2 linked regions of the Oryctolagus cuniculus genome follow. The protein of the gene in region 1 interacts with the protein of each later gene in a biochemical or structural test. Links are inferred from orthologs where the notes say so. Each region holds a gene or a part of one and is shown in the gene's direction. Other genes may lie near its edges.

The links.
Region 2: the proteins of FLNC (region 1) and XIRP1 form a complex in vitro, tested with the Homo sapiens proteins (2 studies listed by BioGRID and IntAct, with this or other methods). The link is inferred for Oryctolagus cuniculus from reciprocal best matches to the Homo sapiens genes FLNC and XIRP1.

What each region holds. Positions count from the first base shown.
Region 1 is NC_091434.1:165,030,291-165,034,091, forward strand, and holds part of FLNC (filamin-C), read left to right. Parts: intron 1-1,473; coding exon 1,474-1,722; intron 1,723-3,186; coding exon 3,187-3,284; intron 3,285-3,411; coding exon 3,412-3,562; intron 3,563-3,653; coding exon 3,654-3,772; intron 3,773-3,801.
Region 2 is NC_091441.1:108,152,296-108,156,572, forward strand, and holds the start of XIRP1 (xin actin-binding repeat-containing protein 1), read left to right. Parts: upstream 1-1,401; 5' UTR 1,402-1,561; intron 1,562-4,239; 5' UTR 4,240-4,243; coding exon 4,244-4,277. UniProt on the Homo sapiens protein: Protects actin filaments from depolymerization. Required for correct cardiac intercalated disk ultrastructure via maintenance of cell-cell adhesion stability, and as a result maintains cardiac organ morphology, conductance and heart beat rhythm.

The sequences.
Region 1 (3,801 bases):
CCTCACGGGCTCCCTCCCAGGGTTCCGAGAAGCCCTTCTGGGTGCGTGAGCCTCAGCTGGGGAGGCTGTCAGGGGCGGGCCCCAGGTCACAGCTCGTGTGAAAGTGCCGTGGACCTGTGTGTGTGTGTGTGCGTGTGTGACAGAGAGCGAAAGCAGCAAGCACCGGGAGGCCGGCCGTGAGTGTGTCATGGAATCCGGGAGCTGCCAAACCATTGTGCTGCAGTGGAGCCAGGGGAAAGGGGTGGGCTGGGGCGCAGCTGGGGAAGGAAGGATGAATCAGGACGGGGTGTGTGTGTGTGTGTGTGCGCGCGCGCGCGCCCAGGAGTCAGAGCCCCAGGCCCAGGGCCAGGCAGACCCCCATTCGCCCTTCCTGGCAGGTGGGGCTCGGGTGGGGGATGCCGGAGTTCCCCAGGCCCTTGGTCTCCTGGCACCCCCCACCCCCCACACCAAGATCTGGAGGAGGGGGAGAAGAAAGGATGTCTAAGGGGGAGCCTCATGCCCCACCCTCTCCCATCTCCCAGGCAACATCAGTAAACAAGCCGAGCTTTCTGCCCCCTCCCAGCCTCCTAGAAGCAGGCTCCAGGCTTTGTCCCTTACAAATGAGCTGGTTCCAGAGAGCCACACGGGCCCCACCCACTCCTGGAGGTTACCCTCTGGCTGTTAGAGGGGAGTGAGGTCCACTAATCTCTGGGGAACCTTCCTCAAGGTTCCCCAAAAGGAGGTCCCACTGGCCCCCAGCACTTGAGAACGTCACTTCTAAGCCTCCTCCCAGAACCGCTTTGCTCCAAAAGCCCTTTCTGGGTGAAACAGGCCAGATCTGCCCGGTCTTCCCCATTGCAGTTTTCACAGTATTCATTCAACCAGTATTTGCTGAGACTCTACCAAGTTCTGGGCTCCCAGCGTAGAAACAGAAAACCCAATTTCTAGAGCAAAAGAAGCCAGAACAACCCAGAACAGTGTATTCTCTACGATTACACTCAGATCCAGCTCTAGCAAATGGGAACCAATGTATTGCCACAGAGAGCAAGACCAGTTGTTGCCTGGGGAGGGGGTTCCAGAACAGGCAGGAGGGAAGGAGGGAGGGATTATAAAGGGGTGTGTCCAGGAAACCATGGAGGGTGACGGATGGGTTTATAACTCTCAGTTATGGTGACGGCTTCATGGGTATGCCCATTGTCAAAGCTGATCGAATTATACTCGAATTTGTGAGGTTTGTTGTATGTCATAGATACCTCGATAAAGTAGCCACACCGAACCAGAAGGGACAAACACACACAGATAACTGCCTAGGTAGGAGCCAGCCTCAGGTGCCAGAGAGGAGGTGATGGGACCTGCTGTGGGGTCAGAGAGAGAAGGAGCTTTGTTCTCCAGGTGGGGAGCGTATGTGCAGGCCGCCTCGGGGGTCGGGTGGGTGAGGGCTGGGTGGAGCGGGAGGCCCTCCTGAGCCCGCCCGGTGTCCCCTGTGCTCTGCAGACAGCAAGGCCATCGTGGATGGGAACTTGAAGCTCATCCTGGGGCTGATCTGGACCCTGATCCTGCACTACTCCATCTCCATGCCCATGTGGGAGGATGAGGACGACGAGGATGCCCGCAAACAGACGCCCAAGCAGCGCCTCCTGGGCTGGATCCAGAACAAGGTGCCCCAGCTGCCCATCACCAACTTCAACCGGGACTGGCAGGACGGCAAAGCTCTTGGTGCCCTGGTGGACAACTGTGCTCCTGGTGAGTGGGCCAACACACGGGTGTGCTCAGGCCCAGGGCAGCACCTGGGGTCAGGACCTCCTGTGGGGCTTGCCCCTCTTCTGGCTGAGAATGACTGCCTGAAGGCTAGGCCAGCTTTGGCAGCGACAGGCAAGGTCTAGGATGCCTCAGTTTCTAGATAAGCACAGTGAAGTCCAAGGGGGACCAGTGCCGTGCTTACCTGTGGCAGAACCGCACCTGGAGCCCAGGGCCTTGCCTGCTTACTCCATGGACTTGTGCTTTGCCTCCCAGGCACCATTTGTCCCAGGCAGGATAGGTAGCAGGACAGCCAGGAGGTGGACTCCAGGAAGGTTGTGTGTGGTGAGACCCCGGGGCAGCTTTGGGAAGAGACTGGGCTCAGGATGATGTGGGCTGAGGTTGGTGTAACCCAGCCCTGCCCTTTCTGGCTGTAGGCCATGACCTGGTCCTGCGGGGCAGACTTGGGCCCTGAGAAAACTAAGGCAGCACAGGCAAGAGCCCCCCTGCGCCCCCTACACCCCCCGAGCCCTTTCTGACCTCATCTCCTGAGCGTTCCTCATCTCTCCTTCCTCGCTGGGATGGGCAGCCCCACCTCCAGGGAGCCACAGCCCCTCAGGGGAATCCTCCCCCACCCAGGGGTCAGCCGGGGAGCAGGGCCTGGGAGGGGGGGCCCACTGCCTGGGAAGCATTCCCAGCTGCTGAACCGGTGCCCACAGCCGGCATGGCTGCCAGCGGTGAGCTCAGCTGTTCCAGCCGGTCACGGATTCCAGCCTTTCCGCCGCCCCCTCCCCATCAGCGCACATCGCCCCCTCCAGCGATGGCCCTAGCAAGCGCCCCCCAGCCCCGCACCCCTTGACCGGAGGCCTCGGGCCGTCTCCCTTTCTTCCTGAGGCTGGGCTCTCGATGGCCATGGTGGAGAATGCATATTCTCCCAGCAGGCCCCTCGATGCCTCAGTTTCCCCAAGCAGGCACTTAGGGCAAGGGAGCCTTAGTCCCAAGGCCTGGCATGGGAAGTGCTTAGGGCTCTGGAACCCAGGGTAGCTGTGAGGACACCTGGTAGTCAGAGACAGAGGTGGGACAGAGACTCTGACCTCTGCTTACCCTTGAGGCATCTTAAATGAGGCCAGAGGGGCCTGGGATGGGGGGACACCCTCATGGGGTTTCCAGTGTTTAGGGGTCTGTGCTGGGCCCTGGGCAGGCAGGAGGCCGGCTGGCGGGGCTGGTGCCAGCCTGCATCAGCTGGGGCAGAAAGACCTCATTGTTGGTAGGGAGGGCTGCAGTGCCTCTGCACAGTGATGGGTAGCTCAGCGGGTGGCCACAGCCCCGAGAACCTGGCCCGTCAGGAGCTGAGAGCCGGGTGGGAAGGCGTGCGAGCCCCTCGGCTGCTGGGGACACCGGGGGAGCGGATGCTCTGAGTTCTGGCTGCCCAGTTTCCCCTGACCACCCTCTCCCTCCATATCTCTCCAGGCCTCTGCCCCGACTGGGAGGCTTGGGACCCCAACCAGCCCGTGCAGAACGCCCGGGAGGCCATGCAGCAGGCGGACGACTGGCTCGGAGTGCCCCAGGTACACTCGCAGATGGGGTGCGGGGGGGTGCAGGAGGGGTGGGGGGGAGGTCAGCTCTCCAAGGAAACCGGGCTAGGGTGCCGGTTAGGAAGGCGCCTCATATGTACCAGCTGTCCTCCCGTGACAGGTCATTGCACCCGAGGAGATCGTGGACCCCAACGTGGACGAGCATTCGGTCATGACCTACCTGTCCCAGTTCCCCAAGGCCAAGCTCAAACCTGGAGCCCCTGTCCGCTCCAAGCAGCTGAACCCCAAGAAGGCCTTCGCCTATGGGCCTGGTATGTGCCGAGCCCCTGCCAGCCCTCCCCGCTGGCCGCCTGGCCTGTAGAGGGTGCTCTGAGTGAGCCGGGCTCTGCCTCTGCCCCCTAGGCATCGAGCCGCAGGGCAACACCGTGCTGCAGCCCGCACACTTCACCGTGCAGACAGCGGACGCCGGCCTGGGCGAGGTGCTGGTCTACATTGAGGACCCCGAGGGCCACACGGAAGAGGTGCGCAGAGGCCTGTGGGACAGTGGGAC
Region 2 (4,277 bases), on another chromosome or scaffold:
GGCGCCGGCACACCGGGTTCTAGTCCCGGTTGGGGCGCCGGATTCTGTCCCGGTTGCCCGTCTTGCAGGCCAGCTCTCTGCTGTGGCCCGGGAGTGCAGTGGAGGATGGCCCAAGTGCTTGGGCCCTGCACCCCATGGGAGACCAGGAGAAGCACCTGGCTCCTGCCTTCGGATCAGCGTGGTGCGCCAGCCGCGGCGGCCATTGGAGGGTGAACCAACGGCAAAGGAAGCCCTTTCTCTCTGTCTCTCTCTCTCACTGTCCACTCTGCCTGTCGAAAGACAGAAAGACAGAAAGACAGAAAGACAGAAAGACAGAAAGACAGAAAGAAAGAAAGAGGTGGGGAGAGCAGGGAGCCGGGGCTCCCACATGTCCCAGCCACCGCCGCCACCTGACTGCTACTGACTGCACGGAAAAAGTGAGCCATGCCTAAGTGTCACCCCCGACACTGAAGGAAGACTGTGCCTGCCAGGTGACAGAGGGCACCTGCTAACCCTTAGACACGGAGCTGGGGCCAGGCCTCCCATCCGGGACAAAAGCCCCTGTCACGTGCGCTGTGCGTGGCCCTCTGATGTCCTCACCAGCCTGGACTGAGTACGGGGACCTTGAGCCTGCCAGGCCCCTCGGGCTCCGGGCAGCAAGGAGCTGCCCCCTCCCCCCCACGCACACTCCGTCCATGACTCGGAAGCGGATGACTCGAGGGTCAGAAATAACCCCACCGTCAGCCCCCGAATGCCACCCCTCCCCTCCCCTCCATTCCCAGAAAGTCTGGGCCGTGAGTCAGAGAGAACAGTCCAGAAGGAGACAAGGCCACAGATCCACTCCATGGAGTTCTCGGATAGATCGGGGGCCTGGGCATCGCCACGTGCTTCCTGCAGGCCATGCTGGACCCAGGGCTGCAAGGAGCTGAGCCGTGGGGCCCACGGAGGAGTGGGGGAGAGAAGATTTGGGGCACAAGGGAACGGGAGAACAAGAGCCGAGCCCCACTCAGGGGGTGACAGAGGGTGATGCCCCCTTGCGGGGTCTCGGGTCTCCCAGCACAGCGGGCACTCAAGTCAGCAGGAGGCAAAGGCCAGTCCAGAGAGGACAATGGAGACACAGCATTAGGGACCGAGGCTGCCCAGGTCCGACGGCCCTCCTTATTCACTCCCTCAAAATAGTCCGGGGCGCTCCCCACCCCACTGCAGGCTGAGTCACTGACCCCTTCCCCGGGGAAGACCGGGGATGAATGAAGCTCCCCTTCTCCTCCCCTGCCCGAAGGACATGTAACTGACTCCCCGGGATGCAAGAGTGACTTCCACAGCCCTAAAAATAACCGAACCACTTAATGCTCTGAACATAGCCCGCCCGCCCCACCCTGGCCCACCCCCAGCCAGCGAGATAAAGGCAGCTGCCGGGGCTGCCAGGGGACACAGACCCAGAGCCAGGGCTGCAAGAAGGCACCTGACGGCGGAGCCCACGGAGCAGAACCAGCCCCCGGCCAAGAAGCTCAAGAGCAACGGCAGACCCCCGGGCCACCCTGCGACAGTCCCCACGCCCCCCACCAGCCAAACAGGACCCTCGGTGAGTAAGCTGCCCGCTCTGTCCTTCCATGGCAGGACCAGCTACCAGATGGCAATCCCGTGTGGATCCTGCGGGATAGGGTTAGAGGGGTGGCTCGGGTGGGGGGGGGCACATATGGGCAGTAGGTGTAGGGCAGCGGATGAGTCTCTGATCAGGCTGTGCCCACCTGGGCCTGGCGTGAACCCTCTGAGTGGCCGCCGCGGGCCCAGGCCAGCAGAAGAAATAGGTCCTCACCAGCCAGGCACAGTCCACAAATGCTTTTCAGGAGCCCCTCCGAGACTCCCTCGCAGGAAGGTGCCAGGCGGGCCCAGGGTCTGGAGGAACCAGCGACAGAGAGGAAGAGGGCGTGGGCCACAGGGCCCAGCAAGTGGGCCCAGCGTGCAGGGCTGAGACAAGCCCTGTGCCAGCTGTCGTGGGTCAAAGTCCTAGCATATTTGGCCCCAGGGATAACTCCCTGGGCTGGACTGAGCCCAGCAACCCCCGGATGTGGCCGAGAGCCTGGGCGTGATGACCGCCCCAAGCCAGCGTCTTGCCCAGTGCTAAAGCCCTGGGGGCCGAGCTGCGGGCTCGAGGCAGGGCCAGGGACTAGTTCTGAGTCTGCCCAGAAGTAAAGCTATCCGGGGCCGGCTGGGCGGAGGAGGAAGCCTGGGGCAGAGATGGGTGGTTCTGAGAGCCCAGCCGAGCCCTGGCAGCCCATTCCCTGGGATAGCTCTTGGGATCGACCTCACCCTAAGTCTTGTCCCAAATCTGAATTCCACCCTCACCCTTCCCCTGCCCTAGGAACCTCAGGCCAGACAAAGGTGCAGGAGATGAGGGGCAGGAAGCTGCCTCTGCCTTCCTGAGCCCCCACAGACAGCTCCTTGCCCCTCCAGGGACCTGTTTCCCTCTCTGAGTCGAGTCAGTGACCTCTGAGGTTCCCTCGGTGTGACTCCCTCCCCTGCATTCTGGGGATTCCTGGGGGTGGGGGCGGGGTGGAGCTGGTGGCTGCTCGGGCCACACTGGAGTGACAGGAAGGGGCAGGTCTGCCTTGGGCAGACACTGAGGTGGGACTGTAGCTGCAGGTCCCAGAGCTCACGCTCCCCAGGGGCTCCCACACCTCTGCTGGACACGGCTGGCCGGCTGGGCAAGTGGTCAGCTTCCCCTCTCCTCTTTCCGAGACAGCCATAGAAGGAGCTCCCGCCCCCACCTGCTGCCAGTGTCCCTGCACCTGCTCCACCTGCGAGTCCCTTTCACCACGGGAAGGTCACTACTTGACTCGCAAGCCAATGGCCTGGCACCCACTCAGGAGGCAGGATTGGGGAGACCAGGATGACAAAGAGGATTGGCTGAACCACGAGCAGCCCAGGTCCCCACTGGCTGAGCCCTGGGCTGCTGTTCTGAGGCCAGGACCTCAGCTATATTTAGCACCAAGTGTAGAACGGAGCAGTGGGTCAGGGTCAGTGGGGGAGGCGGTTGGGGGGGGGCGGTGAACATTCTTTCCCTAATGGCCTCTGGGAACTATCAAGACACCTGTCACAGGACTGATAAGACAGACGTGGGATGGAGAGCAGGGGAGGGTTTGAGGGCCGAGGGGTAGAACTAGGGAGAGGCCACGTCCTGGTGGAAGCTGATTCACGTGGGAAGAAAGGAAGCGGAGGACCAGGAGCCAGGTGCAGGCCCAGTGATGATGGAGGCCTGCAGGAAGAGGTCTCAGCTGAGCCCTTAGAATGCTGCCTGTTTGTACGTGGCTGGGGAGGGGTCTCCACGCGCCAGGGGTGGGGCCTTGGGCCCCCACCCCTCGGGTGTCACCTTCACATTTTCCTGGGAGAACCTGCTGGGGGACAGAGGGGCACCACGCCAGTTAGAAAGTTTCCCACCTCCCACCTTCTTTTTGGGGACCAGTTCCTAATCGGGTCTAGGGACCCTGAGCCGGCAGTACCTGTCACTCACTCACTAGGATCCGACTCTGGGCCCCAGTTTCCCCAACTGTAATTACAAAGGGTCCTGGTTAGCCCCCATAAGCCCAGATCGTCTGAGTCATGGGAGTACAGCACAAAAACCCTAACCTGGGATTCAGAATTTGGCTCTGTCTGACCACAGGACATCTGGTGAGCAATCCCCTTCTCTGGGCCTCCACTGCTTCCGCTGTGGCGTGGGCTGCCGCCTCCCGGAGTCTGGGAAAGGTTGGAGGGAGTTGTGAGCCAAGGTTGGGCAGAGTTCCCGGTCCAAGAGGCAAGTGCGCCCTCTGGTGTTCTGCCAGGGGAATTTCACCTCTGTGGGGGAAGCCCAAACCTCAGTTTAGGGAACTCCCTCTTCATGACTAAGACTCTTTAAGTCAGTATTCCCCGGGGCCACTTCCTTGGGAATCTACCAGGGAAAACTGAGTTTGCCAAAGGGGAGGATGAGACATATTCGGTTTTCCCGCCGGAGGCCTGGACATCCTTTGTGGGGTTGAAGGAACTAGCTTTGTGGCCAGCAGTGCTCCCTAGCAATCCAGGTGACCCCAGGGAAGTAGAATCCCACCTGGATGGATGGGTCCACAGGTCTGACTTCAAGATCTGTTGCCCACCAACCATACAGGTGGCAAAGTGAGGTACAGGCCCAGCTGACCTGGCGAGGGAGTCTCTAAGCTGCTCCTGGGCCCTGTCCCCTGCCACTTGTCCCCAACCCGAGTCTCACTTCTGCCCCCTTCTCCCCAGAAGGATGGCCGACGCCCAGACCCAGCTGGCTCCCTCCC